Styela clava: one gene and its partner. The protein of the gene in region 2 interacts with the protein of the main gene of each other region in a pairwise test. Links are inferred from orthologs where the notes say so. Each region holds a gene or a part of one and is shown on either strand. Other genes may lie near its edges. The genes, in order: anaphase-promoting complex subunit 11-like and anaphase-promoting complex subunit 2-like.

Evidence for each region.
Region 1: the proteins of anaphase-promoting complex subunit 2-like (region 2) and anaphase-promoting complex subunit 11-like interact in a two-hybrid assay, tested with the Drosophila melanogaster proteins (2 studies listed by BioGRID). The link is inferred for Styela clava from reciprocal best matches to the Drosophila melanogaster genes mr and lmgA.

What each region holds. Positions count from the first base shown.
Region 1 is NC_135257.1:2,779,813-2,796,181, forward strand, and holds anaphase-promoting complex subunit 11-like, read left to right. Parts: upstream 1-11,166; coding exon 11,167-11,305; intron 11,306-11,443; coding exon 11,444-11,559; 3' UTR 11,560-12,164; downstream 12,165-16,369. Other genes in the region: uncharacterized protein LOC120346275, read right to left, coding at 5,263-5,802, 6,012-6,059; evolutionarily conserved signaling intermediate in Toll pathway, mitochondrial-like, read left to right, coding at 9,277-10,803; fumarylacetoacetase-like, read right to left, coding at 12,172-13,446; uncharacterized protein LOC120346660, read right to left, coding at 14,403-14,766, 15,309-15,475.
Region 2 is NC_135254.1:19,223,173-19,241,202, reverse strand, and holds the start of anaphase-promoting complex subunit 2-like, read left to right. Parts: upstream 1-10,427; 5' UTR 10,428-10,566; coding exon 10,567-10,617; intron 10,618-14,216; coding exon 14,217-14,348; intron 14,349-15,545; coding exon 15,546-15,640; intron 15,641-16,026; coding exon 16,027-16,168; intron 16,169-16,700; coding exon 16,701-16,888; intron 16,889-17,461; coding exon 17,462-17,597; intron 17,598-18,030. Other genes in the region: placenta-specific gene 8 protein-like, read left to right, coding at 5,284-5,446, 5,799-5,941, 7,337-7,447.

The DNA of each region.
Region 1 (16,369 bases), on a different chromosome or scaffold from region 2:
TGTTTTGTGAAGCCTTTGTGTTCACAAGGTACACATATTTTACATTTAGGTTTGATTTTTCTGCCATCAAACATTTTCAATATTATGCTTGTAGGATGTATTTTCAAATTTTTGACTTTCAACTCATCAAAAATTTTCTCAGATATAACATTGCAATCAGCACCAGTGTCAATTTTGAAATTGACTGATTTGTCTAGAATTTTGACATCAACATGCCAACTATCTTTATTATTTAATGAATTTACATCATTCAGGCAGTACAATGTTGGTGTTCTGTCTTCACTATTATCAGCATTGTTAGTCTTTGCATGTCTTTGTAAGGTACAAACATCTTTATTTCGTCCAGGCCTCCTTGACTGAGTCTGTATACGGATTCAAAATGTCCTAATTTCTTGCAATAGTTGCATCTTTTGCCAAATGCTGGACATGATCTTGGAGCATGAAATCTTCCACAGTACTGACATGTTCTTTTTCCATAAGATCTTGACTTCTGTGTCTGCTTTTTTATATTTCTTGATTTCTGCAGATTGTTAATCTATGAATTTTCTTCTTTCTTGAACATATTTGTATCGCATGCATTCGAAGTATTTTTCATTGCATCGATTTGCTTTTTTGAAGTTTCTATTGTGCGTGCTATTTCAAGAGCTTTCGTGATTGTTGGATCTTTTTCTCTCAACAATCTTTCTTTGACAGAATTGTCACTTAAACCAAGCACAAATTTATCTCTCACCATATTCTATGGTGCTACAAATTGGCATTGTTTGACTTGTGTTCTCAATCTTGTTGCATATTCATCAACAGTTTCAGTCTTTTCTTGCTTGTATTCCCAGAATTTAAATCTTTCAAACAATATACTTATTTGTGGATAAAAATAGTTTTCAAATTGTTCAACCACTTTATTCAGGTTCTGTTTATCATCATCTTCAGCATAGGTAAAATTTTCATATAGTTCTAAAGCATCTTCACCAGCAAAATTTAATAACATGGCAACTTTGGCAGCATTAGGTTTGTTGTCCTTCTCTGCAGCAATCAAGTATATGTCAAAACTCTGTTTAAATCGACGCCAGATTTCAGCTAAATTACCTTGGTGAATATCAAGATTACCAGGTGCATTGAAATGATCCATGTTGAACAGTTATTTATCAGGGAAGCTTTTTACAATCTTTAAAAACACAATCTTGTGTTGGCGAAGCACAATGAACGTGAATGTAAAAATGTCCTGTCGAATCTGACGCTATGCAACGTTAGATTTACTCTTCCTCTTGCGAGCTTTTCACTTCTGACACCATGTCATGTGTTGTCTAGCCAAACACATAAGGCATATATAAGAGGCTTTATATATTATTCAGCAAGCATTTATTACGGATGACTCCTCAGTCAACAGAAACAGTCAGATTAACATACAACCAACACAGCCTAACACAAACACAGAATACCAGTACACGGCATGTCTACAGAGAACATCACTAGCGTGAAGGTCATCTTCAGTGACCTTTGACCTAACATGATCACTTATCATGACATGAAGTGCAGGTTATAGCACGGAATTGAAACTACAGGCGAAACAGGTATATCATTCAGAGTTCAGACCTCTCGACAAATCGTTTTTGCTTATAACATTGCCATTTGCCAATAAAGCTGATAGATTGACTCACTGGTACACATTGGCAGCAACTGCCAAGTTGCTTTTTATTTTACCAATAAATGCGCTATTTGTGATCTCCGAGACAGATTTTCATCAAAGATAACCCTAAGAATTTTATCTCTATCACTTCCTGAATTTCATTGCCATGGAGCAGCTATGGCTCTGGTGTATAATATATAACCCTCAATGCCACAAACGAATAGCAAGATACCGTTACCATGGCAGCAAATTGAAAACCAATGGTGGGTAAAATTTTGCTGCCGTAACCACGGCATGTCGGCTATAATGGCAGGGCTGTTCTGATGGTGACAAATATTGAGTGAGTTGGAACATTTTTCTTATGTATACAGTTTTGATGGATTTGGGGTTAGGTTTAGGTACATATACCTGCGCATGATAAACTAAAACCTGGTTCATGACTTTGTGAATATACCGGTAATAGCGCCATAACCCATGGCAAGTGCCGCCATCGATTCGTTCGTGGCAGAAGCTGCCATTTTGGACACGAAATGGGCCTATGAGTCGTTTTCTTAAATTGTTGTTGTTTATTCTTTCTAGAATTCTCCTTGTTGCTGCATTTTTGTTTTAAAAAATTTATTTTCTTTTCAACAATTGGACCAATGAACTATTTACACTATGTGGCGGTTCCACGATCGCATTTCAACGATCTAGTGGTCAGCGAAGTCGGGAGTTTTTTGATGATAAGGTTAGTTCAGGGTGGTCCAAACCCTGTCATGTTGATACATTCAACGCGGCTTACCGAACAATTTTAGCGTATATTTGTATCTAATGGAGGAACGTTTTTGAATTTTTTTAGGTATCACAACAGGGGTTGAGATCCCGAGATTCAAACCCCTTTCTAACTCTTTGTGCCCTTATTTTAGTAAAACACTCCTCTGTTTTTGAGCGTCGGCCATGTGACAGTAGTGACGAAACGCAATCCAGTTTTTTTTAGCTAGGTCCCGAAATACCAACTTAGACGGACTTGATTGATATTTGATGATTGCAGCTTGCTCACGCTGCAAGTTTTTAAATTACTCAATATAACAATTCGTTATAAAACGAGTGTCGCAAGAAAGGTGACATAAGGAAAACACGGCGGAAACGTATTTCCTTGCCCATCACACAGTGTCTAGTTCGATTTCAAGTAATATTTGTCACGAAAGAATATAATTTGGAGCGACATTAAACGCGAGATGCGCAAAATACAACGGTAATTTCCGGGAATTACCTTTAAAATAACTGAAGGCCTTATATATATATATCCTTTAAAAGAACGCCACCCATGCAACATAATAATAGTCTGATTAGAACGGTAAACTCTCATTGTTTATTAAATTTGAAGTAAGTAAACTCGCGATATTTTGATCACTTTTGGGTTTTCTCCGACATGCGGCCCGCGAGGCATTCTCAAAAGTTTTTGCGGTCCTTCATCCTAGCAACCTTGAACCACCCTGAGGTAGACTACCAAGTACCGGTAAAATTTCAAACTATAGTTGTGAATTGAATGATTTGGTATTTCGATTCACGTTGAGACTGGAGGCATGGATCTTTATTGAAACACTCCCTTAGGAATAGAGCTCAATCGATATATCTGCCCGATATTGCGTGTTTGCCGATATATGATAACGGCAGTAAACGGCCGATATATATATCGGCTATATATAACAGTTAAAAAACCTAAAAATGTTCGTAAAAGTTGTTTTATGTACTGTTCGTTGTGATTATTTTCAATGGATAATACACCTATGTGGTTTACTGTTTTTATAATTAAATCACACATGAGGGGGCACCAAAGTCTTCAGTGCTTAGGGCACCAAAGGGGCTTGATCCGCCCCTGGTTTCAACCCATCATTTTTATTCAAAACAAAAAGTTCAGCCTAGTCTATCAGATCTGTTTCTAGACTAATTTTTGATTACTGCAATTAAAATATAACTGCTACGAAGACAAAATGACTATTGTTACTTGATTTAGACTTATATTTACCAAAAACTAACAAATAGCACGCGAAAACGAGGTAATATTCACAACCATTAAAATGATTGGCCAATATTACGGCAGTAAATAAGAATGTTAAACATTCATAAATATAATTAGAGGTAGAGTATACAAAGTTGTAGTACATAAATATTAAACACTGCTTATATACGATGCTTATATTTATGGCAAATTTAATTGTTGTGCTTCGCGACCCAAATTTGGGCCGCGACCCCGTATTTGCGAATCCCTGCCGTACGGTACCTGCAGACATCATCAATTGTTAAAACTAGTTATGTGCGTTTGATGCATGTCGTCTTGCCAGTAGCAGATACCTGTACAGAGCTCAAGTGTTGCTCATCTTTGTTTTATCGTTCTTTGTTAGTTATTAGAATTTTGGGGTCTGATATAGTTCAGTACCACATATACTTCTAGTGGGCGTAGCGTCACAATTTTTTGACATGCCAATCCTAACCCCTATCTGACTACGCCATCCAAAAATAATGTCACTACGACATCACAATCACGTCATAGAGCTTGTCAAATCGTAAATATATACTACGACGTAAAATCCATTGAGGTGGTAAAATCACCCGAAATGGCATCGGCGCCGATGAGACCAGAGCCATTATATAACTAGTCTGAAAAAACCGAGTTGTTGACAGCGACATCTGGTGTTGGCGTGGGTTTTACACCCCTGTCGTCTGCTGGACAGCCGAATCAGGCAGTTTGATGCAGGTAATGTGTGATTGTTTTCAGGCCATGTTTACACATTTCAAGTTGCGCGAAGTTGGCAAGATATAGAAAACTGAAATAAAAAGGCAAACTATTATTATTAAACTCAAATATAGACTGTGTATGCAGAAAAGGTAGTCTAGAATCCTATCCTAAGCTACTGATAACTCCGGTGCTGGTAACATTCGTTTTTTAGTTACCGGTACAGAGTTAATAATGGTTCCAAGCAAGCATCGTGTCCCGGATGGTAAGAAAAGGACATTTGGAATGCCTTTAAAAGAATGGACACAAAAGTTTCATCACGTTTTTTTGGTATCCGCAATTTTACCGTATTTTATTTTGGCTATCCAAAGCAAGGACAATCTTTATTCTTTCATTTCAGAAATATGGTGTAGGCTTCTGCTGTATGTGATGTCATGAGTTTTCACTGTTTATTTTGTGTCTTATTATATTCTAGTGTTAGCCATTTATTAACTCACTTATGACTTTGACATATTAATTGCTAAGTAATTTTCTATTGCATCTAGATTGTGTTTAAATATTGCTACTCTCCTAACTTTGAAAGCAAAGTTGAGGATGGAAAAGCTAGAATTTGTGCTGATAATTAAAAGGATGAAGATATTCAAAGGGCCAATAACAAAAGTTGGATTGAATTTGGAGCATCACCCACAAAATTGTTGCCAAGAAAATCACATAAAGTACCACCCTGCCCACCAAGAAGAATTGTTCCCAAATATTCATCTATAAATTACTGTCCACCTTCATCACCTCAATCTGCAATTATTACCTACAATTCCATTAATGAAATAATTACAGCTTTTGAAAGTATCACCTTGAAAAACTGGAGAATACATTAAATCAATACATACAGAGCTTCTTTGTTTTCTTGCGCTTTCGCTAGAGTTTATTCTTCCACAATATCATCGGCAATTTCAATCCTTCTCAAAAACTTGGTTGATCTCACCCCGTGTTTGGGATCACGCCTCAAAGCTTGGTTTTGACACCAGAAAGCACCTTCTCCACCTAGACGCTTTATTCCCCATTTTAGCAATCCCCCAGCTAGGTACTCAATCACCTTTTTGTCGCCTTTGGTTATTGACGTTTGCATGAATGGCTCAGGTACTTGGGATACTTGAAAAGCTTCTTTTATAATTTTCGGTGCTGCAGTTTTGATTATGCGTTTTAGGTCCAAATGAGAGATTTCAGAATTGTTCGAGTATGGCCTTTGCAATTTTTCAATGTATTTAGCTGTCATTTTACTTCCTGATTCTTCCCTAGAAATTTCCATCATATACGCTATAACATCTGCCCATAGTGATGATTCCTGATTTAATGTGATGTTCAAATCATTCAATGCAGTCTGCAGTGTATTCTTGCAATCAACACTTCCGAAGTCGATTTCTACTACAGATATGCACCATTTTCCTTCTATCTCGTCATCAAGCTGTTAAATATATAAAATCGGGTCTAAAACAGTGCCTAAGTGCTTGAATAAAGCAAAACAAATGTGATGTATAAATACTGACCAAATTTTTAGCAAAACAAAAACGGTCTCTACTTCCATATATTAAACTACGGTACTATGAACTCTTACTATTCATTCTTTCAGGATCAAAACCTTTTTTAATAAACAATCAGTACTATATAACTCACGTCATCAAAAAATTCAAGCATTTCTTCCTCAGATAAATCTATTTTCATTCGAACTTTGAATACCGTTAACAGCGAGCAGCCTAAAATATACAGCAGACGACGCCGCGGTTATGAATTACCCACGCCAACACTAGATGACGCTGTGAACAACAGGTCAGTATACGGCCTTCAAGACTAGTATATAATGGCTCTGGTCTGCTGTATATGATTTCATGAATCATACTGTTACACCAAAGATTTAAATAAAAATGTTCACTATTCCTATGATGATCATTGCTTGCTTTGTTTTGTAAACACGATTCTCAAGATGAGAATTATGAAAATTTTCCTATGGACCTTTCCCCGAGCATCGACTTCCTTGTTTACTTCGTGACATTGGCCAATCAGCAAAATGCAAAAAGTAACGTAACAATGCCCCCTTTTCGCATCCGCTCAGACACTTTTTTCACTCAGACAGATTTTCCAGCGTGGTTATAAACATTACCTCGTTTTCGCGTTTTTGAACTCTATTCGTTAGTTTTCAGTTGTGTTTTGGAAACTTAAATATAAATCAGATAATTCAATGATCACTCTGTCTTCTTAGGAGTTTTAATTTAATTGCAGTAATAAAAATTAGTGTAGAAATAGCTGTGATAGACTAGCCTGAAATTCTTCACCGGTACCTTTAAAAAACAGATTGTTGTATGCAACGAATCATAATGATGTTTTGAAACATATACCCCATTTTACAGACGCCAACTTGCAAAAGCACTCTTAAAATAGCCCCAAAGGTCGGGGAAAGCTCCATTGATTTGACCCTCTTATGTTGGTCAGAAACGTTTTCAAAACCCATCTGCTAAAACTTCTTGATAAGTATAGGCTACTTGTAAGTATTTACATTCAGTTTTAGAGTGCAAGTTTGTGAAAATCCCAAAATGTATATAAAGTTCATGCAATTTTGAAACAGTTTCAGATTATGACAAACCTATGAATCAAAATCATCTTTCCCTATCCAGTGTGTTATTTTTATTCAATACTGTGTATGTATCACTGAGTTGCACTTATTTATTTTTCACGTTCAGACACATTCTCATCACATTGAAAATTTGTCGCTGATCCACTATGTATACATAGCCAATTTATTTATTTTTTTCTGATTATTATCGTCCAAACTCCATTGAATTTAGTTTTCAGATAAATATAAATTTCCATCAAATTATTCTGGTCGCCTTTGTTTCATTTAACGAATGCAACCGCGGACGTCGTCTTTACTGTCGAAAATTCAGTTCGTTTTAGTCATTTAGGCCTGTTGTGGTGTGAAACACTCCAATCATGGGACCCCAAATGGCTAAATAGGGTATTTCGAATGTGACGGCAGAAGCCAAAAATAGCCCAAGCTATTTCAGAACGCCCTGGTTGTCAGTAAATTCCGGGACAACCGTGGCCCGGGGCGCCAGACGTCAATTCCGGGACTGTCCCTGTCATTGCGGGGACGGCCGATAGCCCTAGTCTGAAATAATTTTAGATTTTGCCTACTTTCCCCATTTTCCGTAGGCTATGTGTGTGTGTGTGTGTGTTGACTTGCATTCACTTTACTAACCGTGTGTTGCGTCTATATTTTGTTTGTCACCGAGCGGCGTGGGTTGTTAATGTAAGTGCCTCATATTGGGTTCGATACTGACTGGGACGCCTTATCGGATTTCTGCGCTTTCGGAATATAACTACTCCTTTAAATCTTCCCCAATAACTATTTAAAACTACTAAAACTAGGCTTGTTTGCGTTACACTACTCGACCCGAATGATCGAAAATGGCGTCCATATGACGCCATAATGGGACAAGTTAGTTGCACGGTGTTGCAGGTCAGTATACGGCCTTCCAGACTAGTTATATAATGGCTCTGATGAGACGATAAAGATAAAGAACTGACTAATGTCAGCGATCTCTCTCATACTGGGATCGTTGCGACGAGAAAACGAGAGAAATAGCTGTTCGATTTCGGTTGCACCAGTTTATGGTCACTTTGGGTTGCACAGTCTTGGATGACAGTTTGTATATTTTGAAGGGCTATATTACGTCACTGTGAGGTCGCACTGACGTAATTTTTAGATGGAGTAGACAGGTGGGGGTTAGGATTGACATATGCAAAAATTGTTGAGCCAGGCCAACAAGAAGTGAATGTGGTACTAAACTATACCAGACCCAAATAGAGGCGCAGTTCTTACCACTTCATGGCGGTTTTATAGCGCTATTCTGTATTCAGTAATCAGTATTAACGGTATATTCACAAACTAATGTACCAAATTCTAATTGATCATGCGGAATTATATCTACTTAAACCCTAACCCCAAATCCATCAAGACTGTATCCATAAGAAAAACGTTCCAACTTACCCAATATTTGTCACCATAAGGGACAGCCCTGTCCTTACGGCCCACCTGCCGCGGTTACGGCAGCAAAATTTTACCTGCCATTGGTTTTAAATTTGCTGCCGCGGTAACGGCAGATCGACATTGGTTTGTGGCAGCTAAAAAGTCAGTCGCCATAGGTTTGGCCGTAGCGGCCATGGTATGGAAATACCGCCATGGTTTTGCGGCAGCTGCAGACGCCATGGAATACTTGAAACTGCACTTGCCCAAATAGTACAAGTAGGCCTACTGGTATATTATTATTATTTTATCTATAAAAAAAAAAAAATAGTACCAGTACTGGGATAAGAACACACAGATAAATATAGGGACGTTCAACCACTTAATACCTGAATGCTGTAATAATAGCATTCCCATTTTGCGTAACATTCAATATTTCGGCTTATATGAGTGTTAGTTAAGTATAAACCACCTAAAACAAGGGAACAGAATCAGGTTTCATTTAAGCCATATAATATAGATTTTCCGTGAATATACGAGCGCATTTGTTGGTTGTTTCCATGCTCAACCCCAAAAATGTTTTGGGACCGGCATATTATGCTATATTCATTTTGGGCAGTTGGCTGTTTGGGGGAGGGGATTTTTAAACCAAACTTGAGTCTGATTAGCTGATTAGGAAAAAGTTTGTCGTCCTTTTTAGAAAAAATCCAAGATGAGATCAGTAGCTTTATACCTAATTTTGTAATTTCATAACTTAAATGCATCATGAAACAATATCTTTCGAAGTCATAAGGCCTGCCTAATCTCTCTCAGTCTCTATGTATATTGTATACCTACATTTCTAACTAACTGCATCTTTCATATTAAAACTGAAAAGCAGAATATATTATTATATTTGAGATCTGTAAATATTAAACCATGTTTCGTAAAACTAATGAATGCTATAGAATGATTAAGTTCTGCACTCCAATTACAAGGAATTCAAAAAGTTGCAGAAATATATGCAACACCATGAAATATTTTTCATCAGGAGAGTCATCGAACAAAATTAAGAAGATTGAAAATGAAATTGAAGAAGATAATACCGAAGAAAGTGTATTGCAACCTGTTGCAAGAAAAAGTATTATTCAAATGGATGAAGAAGATACAGCGGTAGAGCGCAGTGTGAAACGAAAAATGGTTTCACAAAACACCATGTACCAGCAGATGTTAGCAGAGTCTGCACCTGACGATGAAGAGGCGGTTCTGGAATACTATGTACGGAAAGCACAGGAACATACAGATTTAGTTGATGATGCAGAGTATTATGATGTTGTTGAAGCGGATAAACGTCTCTTTTTCAAAATGGTTGACATGTGGATTCAAGATGCAGGTGAAACTCGTAGAGGACACAGGGAGTTTGTGCAAGTTGCCCTAAATAATCTTGATCGATTCAATGTCCAGCATGAATCCAAAGCGTATTTAAAAATACTTGAATGTTATCCTCAATCAGAACATACTGGCATGCGAAGAGACGAGTGGTTTAAATCGGTGTGGCAAGATAAAATTATAGATCATGAACTTGGTGGAAGATTATTTAGTATTATGGCAAAAAACAATGCCCTTATTAATGATGAATTTTATAATGCATGCATGAGACTTTTTGGAAAATTCAGCCGAGCTACTGTGTCTGCCAGGCAGCTTATTTTTTGGCAGCCTAGGTTGTCTGCATTTGTTCCATTTCTTATCTCCAAACTAGAATTAGAAAAATTGACTCCCATTGAAATTGCTGTAAGAGGTTTGAGACAAGTGAATCCTGGTATAGATGCTTCATATCGAAGATTTGAAGTAGACTCATCAGTTCTCAATGATAAAAAATTGACTCCGGAAGCAGAAATAGATTGCATAATAAGCGTACAAACAGATCATCAAAGAGAAATGCTGGATCACCATGATGTAACCAAGCCACTTTTTGTAGAAGGGCCTAATATGGTGTACTTTCAAAATAAAAAAATTCAATACTATATTATGAGAACTGACCCAATTGAAAACAAGACCGAAATGTCTGAACAAGAACGAGTGTTAACTGATAGGGAATGGTGGACCCAGTTTTATGGTTCAGACTTTGGAACTTCCAAAAGATTTTTCAATAAATCTACGCAAGAATTATATTCAACTGAAAGTTTCTTGCCTAGAGTAAAATTAGAAAGTAAAAGTTTTGTGGACTTGCAGCAGAATGAAATAATTCAAGTTGAAGATGACACTAAACCCTTTGAGGGTAATGTATTTGCAGTTGCTGCAACTGATCATAAGTCTATTGGTGCTCTGCGGAGTTGGGTCAAGGGTTTAGAGCCTTCCAATCCGAAGCTCTCACAATTAACTGTAATTTTTAATGAAAAAGTAAATTTTTTGTCTGAAGGTTATAAAATTGGCCCACAAAACATAAAAGATGACCACCGTGGTTGATCGATATAGTAAAGGTGCAGAAATGTATACATGATCTATGAATAATTGCGTAAAAATGCGAATAATATATTTAGAAACTTTATCAATGATTCTTTATCAACTTTATGAAACTTGGCTTTGTGCAGTTCTTCACTCCAATACATGGGCAGATTTATTCCTCAATAGTAGGAAAAGCAAAGTCACAAAAATCACTTAAAAGCATAGCTCTTTTTACATGGATCATGTTAAGTTTTTGTGTGTACCACATTCATGTCAAATTTTTGGTTGTTTTCGATAAAATTTAATATGTCTGAGTATACTTTAATTTATATCATCTACTTTTAGATATTTGTTTGTGTAGAGTTGTTTTTAACCAGCTTAAAAATGAAGTTCAAGATAGTCAAAGTGCATGCTGTTGCAAAATGGTGTTGGCAAGCATCAGATGACAATTGTGGAATATGTCGTGATCCGTTCGAATGCTTTTGTTCTGATTGTAAAGCACCGGGTGATGATTGCCCTATTGGTAAGTTATTTTTTAAGAGTTATTGGTTAAGAGAGAGCAGAGCATTGGTTAAGAGTTAAGAGAAAGCACTGAGGCTGAATTGTGTTGCTTATCAGATCATGAATATAAATAAAATTCATGATATCATTTGTTTTGCAGTATGGGGACAGTGTTCGCATTGTTTTCACATGCATTGCATACTGAAGTGGCTTCAATCACAACAAGTCAATCAACAGTGTCCAATGTGCAGACAGGATTGGGTTTTCAAAGAGTGAACTATCAACTTGAAAAGCATTGTGAAAATGTAGCAATCAACAGTGTCCAATGTGCAGACAGGATTTCAACTGGAGCAGCCCTGGAAAAATGTGGCTAAGTGTCGTTGAGAATATCTGGTGGCATCTTCTCATTATTTAGGTGTATGCTGCTATATGTAGCCTCATTAACGTTAAAAAAATGCACTATTAGCCGAGTTCTTGGCAGGTAGTTGACGAAATTGAGTTGATGATTGAGCATTAATTTGATTATGATATCAGTAACCACTTGTTATGGAGAGGACTTTTTTTCTGGTTGAATGGATGCAATTGAATTACAAATCTAAAGAGTTGGGACAAACTAGCTGCTAATTTGTAACATGGATGGGATCCTATTTGAGTTAGGAATATCGATTTCGTTTTAGTGTGAGTTCCACTGATCTGCCCAGACATTACTGCTACATCAACGGCGCTGTTTTTCATCCATTATTTATTTTTGGCTATAGTATAAAAACCAACGCAATATCACAATGCTAAGGCAACGAAGGTGAAAAGGCCACACATGATTCTACTGACAACAGTTCGGCTGAATTTCATTTTTGTGCATAATAAATAAGTAGCGTCGTCAATTTTCGTCTAAAACTGTGATGCATCTATTGCAGGTAGAACTTCCCCCTCACAGGTTCCAAATCCTACTCTGTAATTTTCTCCTTGACAAAATCCTGATAGAATAACATTGTCTCCATCTTGCAAGAATTTTCTTGATTTTCCATTTCCGAGATCAACAGTGCGAGTTCCCTTCCAGCATAATTCAAGCATGCTGCCGAAACTATCTTGCTCCAATCCACTAATTGTGCCCGATCCATACAGATCCCCTGTTTGGGTATTGCATCCACTAATGCTGTGATGAACAAGTTGCTGCTTCATTGTCCAGTACATGTATTTGAAATTAGACTTACAGACAACTGCGGGTTCGACCATGTCTTTATCTCTTATTGCCACAGACAGGTTGATGTTAAATGCATAGTTATCATCATGTTTCAAGTACGGTAGAATTTCAACATCTTTGGGATAATTTGGTATCGCAAATGGAGCAAGAGCCTCCATTGTTACCACCCATGGTGATATAGATGTTCCAAAATTCTTACCAAGAAATGGGCCGAGAGGAACATATTCCCATTTCTGAATATCTCTTGCAGACCAATCATTCATCAGTACCATTCCAAATATGTGCTTATGGGCATTTTTTATTGAAATAGGTTCACCCAACTTGTTGCCAGTTCCCACAATAAACGCAGTCTCAAGCTCAAAATCAAGAAGTTTGCAAGGGCCAAAAACAGGAGGTGCATTTTCATTAGGTTTGGTTTGTCCGACAGGGCGGCGTATTGGTGTTCCAGAAACAACAACAGATGATGCTCTACCATGATAACCCACAGGGATATGTTTCCAATTAGGCATCAATGCATTATCCCTTCCTCTAAACATTGTACCAACATTTGTGGCATGGTGAATTGATGAATAGAAGTCTGTGTAATCCCCAATAACGACTGGCATGTGCATAGTTGCATCGCTTTGGCTGAAAAAAGCTTGTGATCTGAGCTCTGCATTATCCCTCAGAACGTCATTGTCGCTTCGAAGAAGATTCTGAATGGTTGTCCTAGCCTCCTGCCATGCTTCATAACCCAATGCCATAAAGCTATTCAAATTTTTTTCAAGAAAAACATTCTGATTGTTAACGAGATTCGGGCCATCAAAGAAAGAGGATAATCTCTTCAGTGATAAAATTTTGTCCCCAATAGCAACGCCGATCTGTGGATCTTCGTTTCCGGTAGAAAATACTCCATAAGGTAAGTTTTGAATAGGAAAATGACTGTTCTCGGCTACATCGATAAACGAACTTAACCCGGCCATGGTCTAATTCACTGAACGAGACTGCAAAATTACGAGGAAATGATAGTCTATACTTACAGGCACGCCGTTTGTTGATTGAAAGTGACCTCCTGTGGGTTGTGCACTGAGTTTTTCACGCGGCGGTCATCAGCGGTTTGCTGGCCGCATGGATTTTTTCTGGAAGGTCGAAGATTTCTGAGTGACCGACTAATCCGGATTAAATATTATTTGTAAGAGATACCATGTATAATCCAAAATTGTATATTCTTTATTTCAATTTGTCTATGTTGTGTTCCCACCGGCAGCATTTTAATGTTAAACCATAACCGGTACCTCACTATGGCTGAACACTCATTGAATGTTTCTTATTATAAAAAATTATATTGTGTATGTAAACAAAGATGGTAAGATATTTTTTACTTGTCGGACAGAGGTGTTCAAATCTGCACACAACAGATTTTGTCACACAGCCCTAAATTAACTTTTTCTGGTCTATAACTAATATTGTATGGAGTTATACTTAGATCCTGGATCAAATTTAGCGTTTTATAAACTTTTACGCCCTGGGCGTACGCTAGAAGCTGTCTGCTGTTTTGAAGTTTAGCTATAGGTAAATCAGGCCTGCGGTTTTGGGAATCAAACACCCCGGATTCTTCTCCGCGACATTTGTGTCGAACAGAAAAAATAATCGTTTTTTCACGAATAGTTGGCCTACATATATACCACCGACGTCGCGTCTGTCTGTGTTTACTAAGGTGCAACTTTATGCTACAATGATTTGTATTATCAGTTGGTCTTGGCACTTAGTGGTAGCGCGTAATTTTTCTCAAAGACACCTTCTTTTATATTTCTGAGTCAGTGCGCGTGGCTTTCTTTGGGTAGAATTTCTTTCCCTCGAACTAAACTTTCCATGAAACACGAATAGCAGCCAAAATTGAAAATATGCTTTCTTGAGTACAAACAGAAAAATTCAAAATTCAGTTTAAGTAATCATTGCTTTTAGTTCGGCGATATTGAAGATTTTGTATTCTGCGTAAATGCATTTGGCGCAAAGATTGCTTTCTTCCATATTCATCCTTCATTCTCATAGAACAACCACTGTCTGAATTAGATGCATCTGATACAAAAACCCCGTCTTCGTGTTGAATATGTCCAGTTGAAAGAAAAACTTCGTCGTTTCCATGTTTAAATTCTCCTTTTATTCCCATATTTTCACTTTCCGAAACATTGATTGGTATGTGATTTTTGACCCTTTTCTTTTTTCTAAATGACTTAAATCTACTCTGTGTTGAGCTTATTTCTGCAATATCACGAGACACTTGGGTAGTTTTGGTGAATTTTCTGTTGAAATAGAATTATGGCTTTGAGCAAAATTACTTTGATGGTGCAAATACTAAAACATATAGTAGAACAAGCTTGTGGTCGTTTCTGATACTTGAAAGTTACTGTCATTGATAAGAGTATCTCACAACAGATAGGAAAAAAAATGTTTATAGGGTCCCATTCACATATATATTTTATAAAATGCAATTTGGCATAACGTTAGAATGGCGCAAAGACTTACTTAACACTAGAAGCGGACGATTTTGAACAAAAGACACTATTGCGTGTTTTGTATATTGTTTTTGATCGACAATCACGTACAATATTAGCACGCGTTTAAAAACATAAATTACAATGATGCAATATCATGAACTTTGAAAATCCTGATTTTTAACTATCAATTCATTAATTTTGATCAAATTTCTGAATGTAAATTTGCAACCAGCTAGTATTTGACAGCCAATGAGATCTGTATATATATTTCCTCTTGACAAAAATAGGTTGTATAACTATGATAACAACTTGAGGTAACTTAATATAATAGCTTTATTTTTGCTTACCTGTATAAACGCTTGCAATTTTCTCTGTAATGAGGATTGAAAAAGACGTAGAGAATGGGATTGCACAAAGGTGACAGGAGAGGACCAAACAGAGTGATAATTTCGACGGCGTATGGAACATGAACAGTATAGTAGTCTTGTGGAATAATTTGTACCAATTTTCTAACCTGCACAATATGATATGAAGTGTCAAAAATTGCTTTTATTTGGAAGTTGGATCACAATATTAAACTCACGAATTAAATATTAAGAGAAGAATATTCTGTGATAGGTGATCGAAGCATTCTTGGTATCCCACGTTGCTACTAGTAATCATAATGAACATTTTTGAAGTAACGTTACCCGTGAAAATCGATAACTTTTTTCAATTCGAAATTTCGTTCATCCAAATGTGCGTTTGCGATGTATATACTGAAGATTCCAGCCATCTCAAGAAAGGCATCATTGTTTTAAATTAATTTAGTCTCACTAAAGCAGTGGTTTTCAACCTTTTACTGACCGCGTACCACTTTACGGTTTTTTACTATGGCCGCGTACCACCGACAAAGCCACTTTTTTGGCGTGAGGAAAAAGACACAAGAAACATGCTATGGGAGTATTTTATAATGTGGCACTACATCCCTTGTGGCGTAACACGCAAAACGGACAAAAACATGCCCATATTGCCCCATTTAAGGTGGGCAATAGCGGGCGAGAGCGATCTCTAAAGAAAAGGACTGGTAGCGTGTCAGCGCTATGGACGTTTCCCCGAACATTGATCCCGGAAAAAGTTATCCCTTTATATACTTTACTATACTTATTCTGAGTGTTTTGATGTGTTGGCGCATATAAACTGGTTTACGTGTTTGAAATCATCATTTCTATTGAAATTATTCAACCATGTGCCGTTGGCAGGTACTGATATATATATAGATAAGTTTAGCCTTGTCCATCGCATCATTTGCGAGATTCATTTTCAATTACTGCAACTACATTAAAGCTCATCGGAAGACATATAATGACAATTAAGTTAATTAGTTCACAATTATTTTCTTGGACACAACTGAAAACTGACAAATATC
Region 2 (18,030 bases):
TAAGTGAACGAATAGCTCGCGGAGCCCTGAGGCTCCGTACGGAGCACTAATAGGAGTGTGGATCAACGCCCGACAAAAGACTCATCTTCTCACCCTCATCGGATAGAAATACATTACTCAAACCATACATATAAGCGGAATAACAGCGAATAATGTATAAAGATTGGTTTCACGTGTATCTTACAGAAAAGCATCCAAAATTCATTAAAAAACCAATACATTTTTCCCGCCTATCAGCGATTTAAAATACAATTACAGATCAAGGCTAGAGATAGAAAAATATTTTCGAGTTGCCGTCTCCCAAATTAAACCTCGATTTGATATGTTGTGTATTATACAAAAAGCTTATAATTTGCATTAGTCATAATAAACGCTATTATTCACAATTTTATGTGATAAGTTTCATATAATTTTGTGCAAGAAAAATGCTAGTGTCGACTATAGTCTCAAAATCAATACCTAATTACATGTTTACCAAATGCTTGGGTCGCGAGAAGTTAGAAAAATTTCTTTTGGGTCGCGCTAAAAAGTAGTTGCGGACTTCTGGTTTAAATAACACGTCAGCATACCTTCAGTAAATGATTGCTAGCTGTACAGGTATATTTGCGTAAAACCAGTAAACAAACGTGATAGAAATGGTATGGGTTATAGATTGTCAATGTTAAACGCTTCCAGTACCGGTACCGTACCCAGAGGGTGTAAAAAATATTCTATCCTCAAAACTGCACACGTCTACATTGAAAGATATCTAAAAAATTACAAAAAAATGCAAATTTCTGCTCTGGTGATCACATTCACCATAAGAGCTGATGTCAAAATTGTTTTTTTACATCACTTTTCTTTTTGCGCGTAGGATGGGTTTTTAATGAATAAGGTCTATTGGCAATTAGGTGTATTGTTTTTTTTTTTGACGCCCGGTGTGATTTCGTACCTAAATGATGATTTTACTCTATGAATCTTTTTGTTATGTTTCATTTATTAGACAACAAGCTTTATGTAATATCACATCAAATGTGATGTTTTCTACTAAAATAGAAATGTCATGTTACTTCGCAATCCAAGAATATAGTTTTTGCAGTTGTAGCGTACCGACAGTCTATGAAATTATTATACAAGTTCAGAATATCTTCCAATATGGTATGATGTCAAGTTTCCTCTCAATATTCATTTCAATTCATACTATTTTGTTCTATTTATTAATTATCCTCCAATGAGACGGTTAATACAACCAAATACTAGCTACTTACAATTTGCAAAACAGGCTGAAAATTAACTTATGACAGGCATTTTAAAAGACGATAAACAATTCTATATGTGCACAACATTCGAACAGTACTGATGATAGCTAATTTCATGATAAAACTGAAAATACAACACTACAGGAACTGCAATGGCATCACACTCAAACCACAACATGATCACACTGCCCAGCACAAAACATCTAATCAATCCCAATCCAACAGTCACAAAACCACAAACAAACATCTCCGATCACCCACCGGAGACCAGAGGCACTACCACAGACACAAAACAGCCAAAGTCCAACCAAACACAACCACACTCAGACAACTGAACCCTGCCAACCCACAGCACACGCCAACATGCCACACCCCAAAAGGCGTCACAGCGTCACAGCGCACCCGTGTCCCCAATGCCAAAACACCAAACACGGAAACAACATCACATGACATCACCCAACAGACAAAACAAGGTCCGTCACACAGTTAAGTATGTCTGCATCGAAAGGATATCAATTTCCACACAACTTTGCTCGACATTTCAACTGCCAAATAAAGAAAACAATGTCAGTGATTCGGTTTCTGTTTTGTTGAAAATGCATGTAAATTGTACGCACCTGATTTTTAGTTAAAGATGTAGGAAGATTCTACGCACCGCAACAGAGATCATGTTCACGCACATACCGCATCGCTGACGCTGTAGTATCGTTTATATTCAACCATACAAAGCACAGCCAACTCAAACAAAACGGGCATTCTCCCAACTACACTCCCACGACAGTACAAGTTTGGTATAACTTACCATGACATATTGTGTGTAGTGTAGCTACAAATTGGGAAATGATAAGTCCGCATTTGCAAACGTACCCAGGGTTGATATAACCAAAATGAAAGTTTTAAATTTTTACCGGGTTTATATCTGTTGACCTTCGCAACCTTTTCTTTACTGGCCTTAGCTTACTGTAAGCTCCGACTAACTCAACGCCGCAAATTGCTTTTTAAAACCAGCAGATCCCGCACCTCCGCTTGATCCTAAACTAAAAAAAAACGTTATTATGTATCAAATGTAGCACAGAACAAGTCAAAAATTAAAAAAACGAATAAAGAAATAAATTAAATATCTACCTTCCAAAACCAAACTACCGATTTCTGCTTATAACTCGTTTGCAATAGCATTTAGTCCGTTAAAATTTTGTGCTATAAATACGCAATTATCGTCCAGTGCATCACCATTTGCACTTAGCTAAATTAGAAGATTTGTGTCAAGTCAGTAATAGAAAAGCTTTCGAATTCATATTGGACAATAATATGGTGAATAGGATTATAATGTTCATTTCAGATTCTTTTTTCCTTTCTGTATACACTATTTATTCAAATTTTCAACGATATAATAATTGTTATGACAGTATCAAACGAGAACATATGTGTAACACAAGTTTTATTTGCTCTTAATTATGTTGTGTTAACGTTCCGTGCACCAGCCAGCTCCAACGGCGTATGTAATCACGCCAATATCCCGTAATTTATCAGCGTTCCTGGATACGTCATTTTTGTCGGTGGCTCTGCAAAAATGTCAGACGGTGATGGAAATTCTACATAAATAAATCGACCTCCACGGGTGAAGATATAAATAATCACCGCAAACTTTAAATTTGCACTTTAAACCTGCAAATTACTTACGTTCCGTCAGTGAGTAAAAAAAATACCTTGTTTCGTTGTCTTTTTGTTGTAGTTTGTAGTGTTCTGGAAATCGATAGCTGCTTTTTTCAATGAAAATTTGTGTTGCAGGAATATACAGTAGGCTACTCTTAAACGACAAATGCATTCAACGACGTTTGAATAGCCTTTAGCTGGCAGCGATGGTGGTTGGTTTCAATGTTCCATATTTCATTTAAACGCAATTTATGATTTAATGCAGATTAGACATATGGCATTTATCAATTCAAATCGTTCGTCACTATTTCCCATATATACTGAGTTGAGACTAAATAACTCATCGACTGATATTTTAGAGTGTACATCACATAAATAGCTTCATATTCAGTCGTATATATTTTCATATGACGTTGTATGTACATTCCTTTAATGGCTGTATATGTATATCGAGTTGGCTGTATAAGTCACTGACATTGGCTGAGTATGTACACTACTTCAATAGCTGTACATGTATATCGTATTGGCTGCATTTGACATTGACTTTTGTGTATTGATTTGACTGTATATGCTTATGATATTAACTTTCGTGTATTTCTTTGACTGTAAAGGATGGCTTTGCCTATATTGAAAATGCTCTTAGAAAATTTTCTGAAATTCTCATTCAACTGCCCACCACAGGAGGGAGAAAAGCAATTATCACTCTCCACATTGCCAGGGACTCTTGCGAAACGGTCTTTTTTAAATCTAGCTTGTATGTTGTTGAAGCCAATCGAAGCAGTTTTTTCATATGCCAGTCAGAGCGGATCGATGCTCTGATTTCACTATTTTAGACTAAAAACACAGATTCGCAGATCCCAAACGCAGATTGTATGCACTTCAGTTACTTCCCTCAAATGGTAAACTACGAATTTGCCGCCATTCTTAGTTTTCAGTAGTTGTAGTGCAATAAACTCTCCTCGCATCAAAAAATGCGATTGTGATGTAATAGTGGAGAATACATGGTGCGCCTTCGAAATAAAAGAAGAATGCAAGATGTATCATAATACTGTATGTTTAATCGAAACGTGATGAATCGTAGTTTGCAAAGTATTCTCCCCTCAGACTGACCAATCCGAAAAGAGCCGCATAAAATCAGCTCGCGAGCCGCATGACAAACCTTAGCATGAAAAAACACTTCGAGTACCATGGTAGGAGTATTTTGATCAAAGGGGTAAAATCGTGTTTGGAATATTTTAATTTCATTGAAACTGTTATGATAATACATATTAGAAACAACAATTTTGAAGTTTCGTTATATTCCCTTCAGGAGAATTGAGAACGTTAGCAAAAAAATTAGATTCTGCTCCTATCCCCCACAGTATATCTGTTTGAGCAAGAATGTCCATCATTAACAGTAACCAAAATGAACAGTCGCAATCGTTTCAACTCTGGCCATGATTTATATGGTTTTCACCAAGATAGAATCGAGCATCAAGGACGTGAGGCACAGGCTCAAATGTTACCAATATCATCGAAAAGAGGATTTGAAATACTACAAATTTTTGCAATAGTGTCCTACCGTGCGTAATTGAAAAAAAAGCCAGATTGTCGTCTCGATCTTTTTATTTACGTTTAGCTCTGAAACGCGGAATTTGCGGTCTATGGGTCAACTAAATTCAAATTTGGTCCACAATGAAGAAGTTTGGGAACATATGCGTTGCGTGTATTGGAAAAACGCATGCATGGGCTAATTGATAGATTGCTATTGTGTTTGTTCATTAGGCTACTACCGTAGTATTTTATTCACAGAGGTAAAAATAAAATACCTAGGGGAAAGAGTGAACTTTTTCATCCATATTATGAAACGAGTTGTAAATCTAACATGACAATCTTTCTCGTCGCCTTGACTAATAAACCTGGTATGAGTTGAATCTAACACATCCTAGTTAAAACCCATAGTATATCTAGGAAGAATTTTGTAATATAAATTTCTAGTCTTCGAACATTTTTATGGTGTAAGTCACAAATTCGTTTGTAAAGAGAAAGAGATTTTATTGTACATTCATCTGAAATACAGATCCTCCACACTGTTGTAGATGGTAAACAAAGCCTATTGTTTTCGGAAGCCTACAAAGAATTTTGAAGGGATATGATGTTTGTCTTACATAAAATAGTTTTCAGGAAATTTAATTATTTTTTTATTATGCAATGACATATAACGACATATTGTTAAAAATTACAAGGCTTCAGAAGAAGGTGGTTATATATTGTATATTAAATATATAGCCTTTATGCTAGTGAGTAGACTGGAACGTGACGTATTCGGGCACAAATAAGTGATTCTCGAAAACAAGGATTTCCATAGTTTAATCATTCTGAGTGTTTCAATTGAGATCGGAGAATAGACGAAATGGAACAAGGAAAAGTGGGTTCTGCGCCTTATGCGTCATACACTGATCCACCTGTAAAATACAGTTCCCAAAATATAGTTGTAACAACTCCTGTGTCGCAGGAAATTCAGCGATCGAAGTGGTCAACAGGACTTTGTGGATGCTGTGAAGACACCAAAAGCTGTAAGTTGAATTCAATTCCTAAAATTTAAATGCGTTATACATAAGTTCTGGGCTTCCGGCAAACTTATCCTTCTCGATTGACTTATTTTTTATATTTCAACTATTATATTTTCATGTCTCGCAAACGTTTATTTAATAATTCCGTTATTTGAGTAGTTTTTTGGGAATATTCACTCATGTGAGGATATTATGGGTGAGTGGTGGATAACTGTGATATTGATATAAGTACCGTGATCGTACATTTTTGGACAAAATCATATTTGCACAATAAAGTTACTACAATCTAACGTCGATACTCATTTTAGTTAAAAATAGTCACAAAACTATTATTTGCAACTATTTGAATTTCAAGGTCTATGTGCATATTTCTGTTTTCCGTGCTTCTTCTGTAACCTCGCTACAAGGTTTGGAGATTCATGTGCGTATGGTTGGTGTTGTCCTCACCATTTCGTAACAGTTGCCCGTCCGTATCTCAGAGCCAGACACAATATTGTTGTAAGTTGTTATTCAATTGACTTTAGAAATGTTTGCAATGTTAAATGCTACTGTTTTAGATCTTACAGTAAATTATCTGACATGTAGATTTCTATCGCACACTATATAAAATTGTTGAGTGCCATAACCAGTCTTTTAACTGGTACGAGCAAATTTAGTACAGCTAGTGCGTCTTAACGACCTTTACTGTGAGGCAAAGATGTTTGTTTTGACAAGAGAAGTATCTCATTGCAACCTTTCACGACAATGCAAGATCTATATATAATTATACGATGATTGGTTACCCCTGATAGTATTGTGTTGATGTTAAGTTGCACTATATACAGGGCTGCCATCGATATATGAACCCAAAAATGAGAACATCAGGAAAACATAATAATAAGATAACAAAGAACGAAATGTAATAAACAATGTTTTTACGTTTACCATTTTATCTTTTATGATGTTCCAAATCTAAACTAAATTTAAAATATAATTTACCGGTATAGTCGTGTTTTGTCTAAAGCACTGATTATTGAATAGCTAGAAAGTTCAAATTTAACGCGTGTGGAAATGCTCGGGGAAAAGACAGTCGCTCAGAACGTCAGAAATTAATTTGTTCAGTCGCTTAATGAAAATTAATTTGCTCTCATGTCATAAATGCGCGAAGCAATCAATAGGTTCTAATATTATTTCTAGCAAATCAGTCATTCGAAATGACCAAACTAAATGCCCGGTATAAAAACTTCTACCCCTAAAATAAAAAAATAAGGACACATGTCAAATGAGGACGTTTCTTGGAAATAAGCACAGAAATATTTTCTGGGACAAAGACCTTCAAAATAAGGACAAATCTTAGAAATAAGAACGTTATGGCAGCCCTGACTATATATAATTGCAAAGACCTACCTATGATGTACTTAATGAATGAAACTGACAAAATTTAATACATTAGTACCTTTATCATTAAACCGCATTTATTAGAACATAGGGACATTATATGACCAGCATATAATAATGCTCTAATAGTCTAATCCAGGGGTTTAATTTAATATGGCGAGTAATCACTTTGCGTTGCAAACCTATACCTACCAATAAGTAGTACAATTTATTATCTATGCCCATGACGTTACTACTAGAAAGCTTATGTCAAATCAAGACGCGGCCCGCGGTTTCATCCAGTATTTCATATCTGGCCCGCCTGTATCAAAGGTTGCACACCCCTAAACTATAATAATTTCATTTTGGAGTAAATAATGAAGTGAATGAAATTTGGGAACAATTAACTAGAATGTCTTTCCATATGGCGAACTAAAAGTTGATATATCTCTCAAATCTCATTTCACACGCACAAAAAATTGGATTATACCGACTACAGATCTCTATTTATTAACATTTTTCAATATCTGTTTTAAGGGTGGACTTTGTGATGATTGTTGCGTGACTTTTTGCTGCACTCAATGCGTCCTGTGTCAGATTTCAAGAGAGATGGACCATCGTGGATATCCGAAGGGTTGCATGTTTTAGTTCAACATGATGTGACAGCAGCAGTAGTGTCTGTACATATACCATCATTTTTCTTCAAATTATCTAAATACGTGGTGCTAACTATAACCCAGGGGTGGGCAAATTACGGGCCGCTGGCCAAAGTGTTTCATCTGGTTCACTCGTGTCTTCTGAAATTACGACTATAGTTTTTATAGATTAAAATTTCTGTTGAAAATATCGAGAAAAATAATAAATCGTCGGCCAAAATAAATGCCGTAATTACCCACGCTTTGAATATAATGTGTAAAACGAGCCACATATACAAGCGGTCTGGGAAATTAGCACAAGCTAATTCGAGCCTGATATAAACAAGCGTTCGGACGAATGCAGGACTCTACATCAGTCCTATTAAGCAATTGTGCCACTCGATAAACTAGCTGTTCGTTATTACATTAGCTGTTACGCTAGTTATTTGTAAATGAACTGTTTTTTTTTTATTCATAGTTTCATATGGAGCCTCCGGCCCAGTATCCAAGTTCATTATCTGTAACTGGTCCACTCAGGAAAGTAATTGCCCACCCCTGATATCTCCCCTACTTTTTATGTACATAAATTGCCAGTTTGTTATACACTGACCTATCAACATTCAATGAAAACGAATTGACACGAAACGAATTGAAAAGAAGGTCCTCGCGGAAATGAAACTAGTCACCACACAACTCAAGTCCCAAAGTCGCAGTTTAAGCAGTCGCTAAACAAATAAATAATTTTATTGTATATGTAAGAAACGAAAAGCGGAAACCTAGAATAACACATAGCGAACAAAAAAATTTGTTACAATTGGACCCGAATATCTGATTTGATATTCGCGCTTATTCAACCAATTCCCTTTTTTACTAAATAATCAGTTTATTGAAGAGAAAGCTATTTTTATCGATCTAAATGACCAGGCGAAAAATTATGACATTTTAATTATTGTGCATTTATAATTTAAAAAAAAAGGTATACATAACAATGTTGTTCATATAATTTTGAATCATCAGACCAGTATAAAAAATATATTTATAAGAAGAAAAAAAACGCATACAAATTTTCCTAGACACTCGATGACTTTATCTCTTTCTTCTTATTATAAAATCCCATACCAACCTATACATTAATATACTTTTGGTGATTTACTCACGACAAGATTTCATGCAACGTTTCTTATGTGTCAATGCCAAGGTGATTGGTGATCTAGAGTCGTTTAACTTTCTATTATATGGGGTAGGATCCTATTTATCCCGGGGGAGAGGAAAGCCCGTAAGACGGATTAACCATATGGCGAACCACGGCCTCTTGTCCGGTTACCATTCCATGTCGGATATATATCGGATTAGTTAGTTTTCGTCAGCCTGAACTTAATGATAGAGGAAGCCGTAACCAACGGTTACGTGAACCACCGTACGGCGGCGAGGAGTCCACGAGTCCAATCCTCTCGCAAATAGCCATCCCTGCATGGGATTCGAACCTGCGAACGCACGCAGAGTAATCAGAGGTGTGGTGGAAAGCGTATTCTTAACGCTCAGCATGATGAGCCACACCGCCGCTTCTTTGTTAGTTAATATTTCGGCTGCATCACATTGACCTAAGACGGAGTTCAGCTAGCTATAGACATTCCGGTAATATACGTTTTAATATTACAAGAAGACAGAATACGCAGACTCTACTCAATCTGATGTCTGTCTATAGTAACTATAATTCAGGGTCACCATATTTGAAAAAGCAAAATTCCCTACAGTGCATGACTATTTTCATGACCCCGTAGTAAGAAATATCCGCACGGTACGAAATAACAATGTTCTGTATAAGCAGTGTGCACAGTACGATTGCAGATGCGGATTCAGGACATTTGAGCATTTTTTTAAATTCTTCCCGGATGCAAAATTTAACCCATTTTCCGGACGGTATGGCAACCCTCAACTATATGAATTGCTAAATGGTATTCAATATTTTTGTTATCACCGGTTCAGCCGCCATTAAATTCGACACTACCATAGCGAATGAGAATAGTAACTATGACGTCACAGTTAATTAATTGTCAATGCGGTCCTTTTTCTGAGATTTTCTGAATGCGGCCCATGCAAAAAAGAAAACTTTGCCCTTGAAGGTGTCACGCATGCCACAAGATTGATGACATGTTTTCCGCCCTAGCTCAAGAATTGGCTTTTGTTGGACACGAAATGGCCATATGGCTATGGTTCATTTTAAATAAATTGTTGTTGTTGTACTTTTCTTCTAATCGTTGTCCTACAGTAGTTTGAGATTGTTGTTGTCGATTTGAAGAGTATTCCTTTAATAAATTTCATCCAGAATTTCGCTCTTCTATTTTTATTCATGGAAACAAGGCCTTTAACACACCAAGCGGAACGACCTACGGTAAGAACATCTTCAGTTTTGAATTTGCGAAGTCAGTAGTCCTACTAGCTCAACGTAACTTGTTTGATAGCGAAATGCCAAATGAATAGACTCACAACTGTAGTATCAATTTTTTTTTTACAATACTTTAACTTTTACAGTAACTCACCATACGTTGCCTAGTCCAGTGGTTCCCAAACTTTTTGTACCATCGCTCCCCTACAGTAGTTTATACAACTTCATCCCCCCCCCCCCCCGGCACTGCAAAAAAAATTGAAAGTCTGAAACGAATATATTACAGACCAAATAAGAAGACAGATAATATTTTATAGTGTTTTCTAATGAGATGGATGAGCTTGGTGTTCTATGTGAATCAGCTTTTTGGTGTCGCTGCTTTCGAGGTCACTCGCGACTCCTGTCACACAATTAGGGCCTTCTGGAGGAAAATTTCATCTTTAACCACTGAAAATTTCAAAGCAATTGGTCCAGTGATCGAAGAGAAAAGCGGTTTTTTAATATTTTCACTAGATGTCCAAAAAGTGTCAAAGAACACCAAGAACAACATAACAACAAAACGATCGTTATGTCCACTAAACGTGTCCAATAAACAGAGAAGTCGATGTTCTGGGAAACATCCATTACTTTGGTTATCGCTATACTTGGATGATTTCGCTAGAACGAATTCCATCGGGGGAATTCCCTAAATGGAACACAAATCTTCAAGAAAACGCTGAAAGTAGGCCTATGGTCAGACAGTCAGAATGGATTTGGATCTTATCTTCGAAAATGCCGTCAGATATTTGAATTTCAATGTAAGTTAAATAAGCATTTTTAAATTTCCGGTTGGTTTTAAATCTGAAAACTGTTCGATAACTTACCGGTATTGTCCAGTCTAATTGCCTAACTTCGGACACATATCGTACCGTAAACTGCCATGTTCTTCAAATTATCTTGACTAAAAAGCGCCGTATATTGATCAATTATTATGTTACGTTTAAATCTAATATTAACTTTTTGTGAATGTTGCATAATTCTGTAATTAATTTTTCATTAAAAAACGGAAAATTTTGCTGGTAAATGACACATTCAAGGACACAGAGCGTCACTCCTACTAGTCAAAATACCGGGTCTCATGTAGTTTCTTACCTAACATACTTCTAGTGGGCGTAGCATGACAATTTTTTCGCGTATCAATCCTAACCCCCACCTGACTACACCATCCAAAAATTACGTCATCACAACGTCACAGTGACGTAATAGAGCCCTTCAAACTATACGAACTGCCATCCAAGACGCGCAAACGAGCACCCGAAATCGAACAGTTATTTCTCTCGTTTTCTTGTCGCAACGATTCCAATAGGAGAGAGACCAATAACGTCAGTCAGTTCTTTATCGTCGGCACCAATGCCATTACGGTCGATCGTGCGTATATTTGGCAAGCTCTATGACTGGATTGTGATGTCGTAGCGATTTAATTTTTGGATGGCGTAATCAGATGGGGGTTAGGATTGACATATCAAAAAATTGTTATGCAATGCCCACTAGAAGTACGTTAGGTACGAAACTACACGAGACCCAAAATACCATCATTAGATAGAGGAAATTGAAAACCATATACCGTATTTTCCCGAAATTACGCCAATATCGAGAATAGGCCGACTCCCTAAAAACGGCCTTAATGACAACGATTTTATAAAAAATCGCACGTAAGCCGGTCCTTCGAATTGTTACACGCCGGACGCTTCAAGAAAAACGTAATAGAGAACAAAATTACTGTAACGCAAACATTTCTCACGTTTATCGTTTCTGCACGTTAGCGAGGGCCGTAGGTGGATTATTACCCGTAAGTCTTACTTGTTAATTTATGTTAATAAAGTCTATATTGCTTTCCAATGTGTCGTGATTGTGTCGGGAGTTTAAAATAGAGTTCCTGAATCAGCATAAAACAATTTCCTTTGATCGCCACAACGAAGATTAATTTCGTTCCTTGTCCGTTTCAAGGAAAGAAATAACGCTGTATTAACACATTCTTATAAATCACTACGAATCTTAACATGCCAGACGCCTTAAGAAAGGCGCAGAAAGAAAACAAAATTGCTGTAACACAAATATTTCTAACGTTTATCATTTCTGTTTGTTAGCGACGGCCGTAGATCCTTACTCGTAACTCTTACTTTATTGCTTTTCATGCGTCATGATTTGTATTAATGGAAGGGATTGTTGTCGGGAGTTTAAGAGAGTCCCTGAGTCAGCATAAAACAGTTTCCTTTGATCGTCCACAACGCGGTTAATTTCGATAAGAGTCCTTATCACCGCCCTTTAACGAATAACATATCCATATCGTAAAGGTGATTAAAATTTGTGCGCCGTTAATTGCCTCTACGGCGAAAGTGCACCAAATAATAAAGTTTTCGCCATGAAACAACTGACCGTAAATCGACACTGTTGCTGTTATATAAAAGAAACACAAGCGAAAACAAACAATCACAGCCTGCACAAGCGTCACATGTTAAACAACCAATCACAGACTGTACAAGCCATTAGCTGTATGATAAGACAATCCACTTTCACAAGCGAGTGTGTGTGCGCGACACTTTTTATCGTGAGAACTTGGTATGGTTTGAAGCTTTTGGAATTACCGGCAAGTCAGCATAATATCATCTCGTTGCGTGATCAAATTCTGATACGTGAATGAGCCGATTTTTTTGGTGCAATCTGAGTCTTGCGTGTATAAGACGGTCCCTTGGTTTGGCAACTTTTTTTTTGAGTTTTAAACACGGCCTATACGCGATCATATACGGTAAATCATGAGAGGCGACATGTTGTACAAGTAAAACCTAGAATTCTGATTTTTAGATTTCGCAAAAAAAAATTGAGGTTTGATGCTGCGCCAAAAGTTACATCAATCTCATGTAGATCATTTTTTGGTCACCTACCTCAGGGGTTCTCAAACTTTTTGTGTTGCGGAGCCCTTGAAAAGGTTGACTATAATTCACGGAGCCCCAAAATAAATGTTAAATTGTTACTTTCCAATTAATATTCCTGAGTATAAGTTAAAAGTACTTTACTTAATTTAAACTGTAAATTTGACACTTGGCAAACATATTAATAATTTAGGGGTCGAATCTTTTCCCTTTTGACATTTTTGGAAGATATAAAGGGCCGCTAATAACTTGCGCGATTGCATTTTGTTACAATTGCCGTTTGTTTTCGTCAGCATGGCGTGTTTTTAAACCTCAAACATCTTTACGCCAGTGTTTATTCTCCCTAAATCGAAAATTTCCTTTGGCATATACATGTATTGTTCCACAATGACGACAATAATTGATTTTTTGTTCTCGTGGGAAATTATGTGTTCAATGTGAAAAAAAATATTATGGTGATAGGCGACGGAATGCTAAAAATAATAATTGATAAAGAGGTAAATCCGCAACTCAAATATCTTGATCGAAAAGCGGCATTCTAAAATATATATTAAAACTAAAACTTAAAATGGAAGATCACACTATAAGTTTGGTTTCAGCAGACCTTAAAACGCTTTTATAAACATTGTTAATCACAAATTTTGGTGTTATGTTAGGTTTTCTTTGGTTATTCATCGTAGTAACTGCGAAATCGAAACAAAGTCAATTGTGCGCGCGATGTAGGCTACCTTTTTTCATTCTGAAACTACCGACGGAGCCGCATGCAATAAAATAAATTTCAATCGTTCGTATTTTGCCCAGACCTTGTGATTTTTTAAACGTGATATCTTGCTCAAAAATAATCTCGAGTGCGAAAAAACAAATCAAGTTTGACAAATCCCAAGCTCGCAAAAACACGACTCCAGTTTTGTTTATAGTTGGCAGTTTATCACGTATTTTATGTTATGTTAGAATAGTATTTTTTCATTTTAGTAATCCTAATAGTAATCTCGAATCAAACGTGAGTAACGATGAGCCCAAATAAATTATAACGACAAGACACTTTAAATGCTCGCATCGGTCATGGATTGAATATTTTACGCAACAGAAATCTCGTTATCCTTTTTAATCGCGAAGAATGTTGCGCGGAAATTTCCTATTCCAATTTTGAACCCCCTCCCTCCTAAGAATCCTGGATGCGCTCCTGCTTATAAATAATGTCATTTTTTAATTCCGCCGCTTTGCCATATTTCGAGGCTATAATGTTGTCAAATTTTATCGAAGCTGTTATTGCTTCTTTGAACAGTTACCAAATTAGCCAAGTCAGTATTTTGAAAAGTAATCGAATAGCTCGCGGAGCCCCTGGGTTTCTCTCGCGGAGCCCTGGGGCTCCGTACGGAGCACTTTGAGAACCTATGACCTATCTGATGATTTTTCATTGAATTATAACATTCACATGGTTGAACTCAGTATCATAAAAATAATTTTTTTGAATATTCTATTCATAGGAAAAAGCAGATGTAAACTGGAAAGAGTCTGATATAATTGGAATGAAAAGAACATTATCTTTGCTACAAGAAAATAATTTATTAGAATATTATGAACTTCTTCTTTATGATAATTTTCGAGAAGATTTAAAAGTAAGTATTGTACTGTTTCAGCTTTATGTCTTTGATTTTATGCTTGATATTTTGCTTATATTCATAATTCATGTAATTAGAGATGTTCTGATGCTACTTTTGCCGCCAATACCGATCCGATACCAACTAAAAAAAATGATGCAGATATTTCAAAATAGCCGATATTCCGATACTGTGTAATTATTTTCTCAAGTGTGCAGGGAAGATGGTTTAAAACAATAGCCTTTGAGCACTATTTTTAGTGCACATCATTCCAGATTGAAAAATGAATATGTCACATATTAAGGAATTGATGTTTGTGATCCAGATGCGTCAATTGATTCAGATGCATGGTGCACTGACGCTTGTAATCAATTAGAAAACTCATTGGGTTTGGCCACCATGTGTATGTAGTAAAATAAATAAATGTTTAGTATACTTTTCCTATCAAACTAATACATTGAGTTACGTGCGCAGGGTTTGTGCCAATATAACGTATGATTCTGTATTTTACACATCAGAAAATCTACTACTATTCGATTGATATATTTCATCATAATTGCCATGTATAATTGAAAATGTCAATATGAAAATTTGGCAGTGAGAAATAGCCGAATTAGTTGAGCTATTTTGGCTGAAAACAGGTCAGAATCCCATTCCTGTTTCTACTTGCGGGGGTGGGCGCGTGCATGGCTCATAGTTCATGATCCCTCCTAGCAAAAAAACAATTTCAACATCAGTATTCTAACTTATTTTTTAAAACATTCTGGAATCTGGATCATATTAAAAAGCTAAATATATCGGAAATATCGGTACAGTACCGATACCAAAAAATTGGCCGATATTGTCGATACCGATATATCGGTACATCTCTATTGATAATCTGTGTAATATAGAAGAGTATATGTACTGTCAATTCTATCATCATAAAATTTAGGACTCTGTTATACATAATTTTTTGCACACCTTTGCAAGAAAAAAAATGAAAATTGTGAACCATGTCACTTTGATGTTACTACAAGCTTCAAGCCTGTACATTACAGATTTATGGGACATATTAGTATTCCTTCAAGAAAAGCTGTGCACAAGCAGTCACTGCTAGGTAAAGAACCAATATAGTTTGGATTTTAGAAGGATCAGAATATTAACAGTTTGGTATCGCCTACCCAATTTATTATATACATCTTGAACATGGAGATATCCACATAATATTTTCAGGAAAGAATTGTTCCCATATTTCGTAAACAAGTTCTATTCGGAGGAGTGACAAGACTTGCAGAAGCAGTGAAATCATTACATCAAAATATTGCATGGTAATGCAAACAGGTTTTACTATTTTCAACTATTTTTTATTTTTTGGCAATGGAGGTCTCTTTCTATTTTAACAAGATAGACATGTGTAAATAATATATACAGACTCCAAATAAGAAAGTCCTTCATTGTTAAACTACTGTCACTTATATAGGTTGTTGGCTGACTCTTTATAAAGATTAGAAAAATTTAATAAGGAAATAGCTGGATCTGATTTTATTTAAAGAAATTTAAATTAATGTTTTTGGTATATCAATGACAATGGCAGTAATACAAGCAGTCTTTTAGAAAAATCATGAAGCAAAATTGCTTCTTCTTATTCTCATCATATAGCCGTATCATGCCATCAAGTTTCTTTTACAATTTTCAAGGCAGTTTTTTTTTCAAGGTACACCAAACTGATAGAATTATGGCCTGATAATTACAGATGTGCTGCAAAAATTAGAGAAATTTTTATCTCGTGTTTGTTGTGGGATCTTGATTCGAAGATGAAAAATGTTTTTGCTGAGTTTTACTCTCATGCATTTCAAGTAAGTCTTTACGTAATCATTGCCATCATCAAGTTCATATTTTTCTGTCAAGTAACATAATTGCCTATATATTATTGGTGAAGGAGATGCACAGATCAAGTAGCGACACCTTCTAATATTTAATGAAGATGGAAAAAGCTGGAAACCTTGGTTTTTGATCTATCTTTATCTCATGCAAATAATATTTTTTGCAAATTTATATATGACACAAAAATGTTCAATCTAGGCAGCTAAGCTTCTGGAACACACTTCTCCTTTTTATTCCTGATTTGAAAAAAAATTGTTTTAAAAGTTGTAAATTTATAGAAAAAATAATCCCTAATTTTCAATTAAATTGTTAAAATGATTTTTAACAGGCATTAGTTTCAAATTCTGTTTAATTAATGTGAATACTCAGGTGATTCTAATAGGATCTTTTTCTGTTCAATATCTATTTTGCCTATATACGCAAATAGGAGACTACTCGGCACCCAAACTGAGTTTCTTTGAGTAACTTTTTTTAAAAAAAAGAAATTGCGGGATGTTTTTTTAGGTTAATACTTGGATATCAGGGCAAGATTCAAGCTTGTCAGATATTTCTATGGAAGAAGAAAATTCCTCTGAAGGGGAATCAGTAGATCATATTGTTCTGGAATGGAATGGCAAAACACGCAAAATGCTGAAAAACGATTGTGCAGATTATTTACAAAATGAATTTACACCTTTGGCATCAACATATTTGTAAGTGAAATGAAAGATAACGTTCAATGAAATCGATGAGAATATGTAGTTATCTGTATTTTATGAATGGCAAAATATTCTGGGTTGAACTAGCATAAAAGAAAGGTTATATGCATCTCAATCCACAGCACATTGTCACTGGATAGGATTTACATATTTATCCCGGGGGAGAGGAAGCCAATAAGATGGCTCAATCATATGGCGAACCACGGCCTCTCAATGGGTCGTAACCGACCAGCGGAATGCCATAGGTTGCAAAACAGATATTTGGTTCAAAAAATCCATTTTTTTCAGTATATTTCTAGTAATGATAGTTTATTTTCGAGTAGGATGAAAAAATTAATAAATAGTTTAAGAGATTTGTTTTGTTGCCATTGTATAACTCCGCTAGATGTTATACCCTGGATTGTTTTAAACTTGAATGCAACAATGTGTTTATCTTCAAAAGGTATAATACCTAACAAAGTTTGGTTACCTCATTACTTTCTAGATCAGCATGATTCTTTAATATCTGAGATAGATTAGCATTTTCATTTCCGAATACAATACATTTTTTATGTTATATTTATTCAGATTTGATCTAGATTTGTTGTTTCTTCTTGCTGAACAACCTGTATCACAAGTATTAGAAATTGAGATCAAACGTTATGTGGAAAAAACTTGTAAAGGAAAATATGAGAAATCATGGATCCACTCTCATCTAAAAACAGTAATTACAAACTTTCTTCTAAAACTTTATTATTATTAAGTATATTATATTACAGTATTTCTCTTTAGCTATATAATTTTCATATCAGCCCTGAACAATACTATATTAAGAGATATGGATGACCAATATCCGATTACTACTCTGAATAATTTCTGGATTGAAATTTCAAAAGTGGGATTTTGATAACATTTTAAACTACCGGTAAGTCATTTTCAGCGAAGAAATTTACAGGGAATATTCTATCTCGTTAATATATCAAACTAAAATATTCTAATTTTTTTCCTAAAATTAATGATTTACCATATTGAATATAACCTCTTTCGAATCTATTTGATATTCGTTTCATTTTTGACGTACCTGACATGCAGATCAATAGTATTAAATTAGTGGTTCTCAAACTTTTTAAGCCACGTCCCCTTTTTGAAATTTGTCA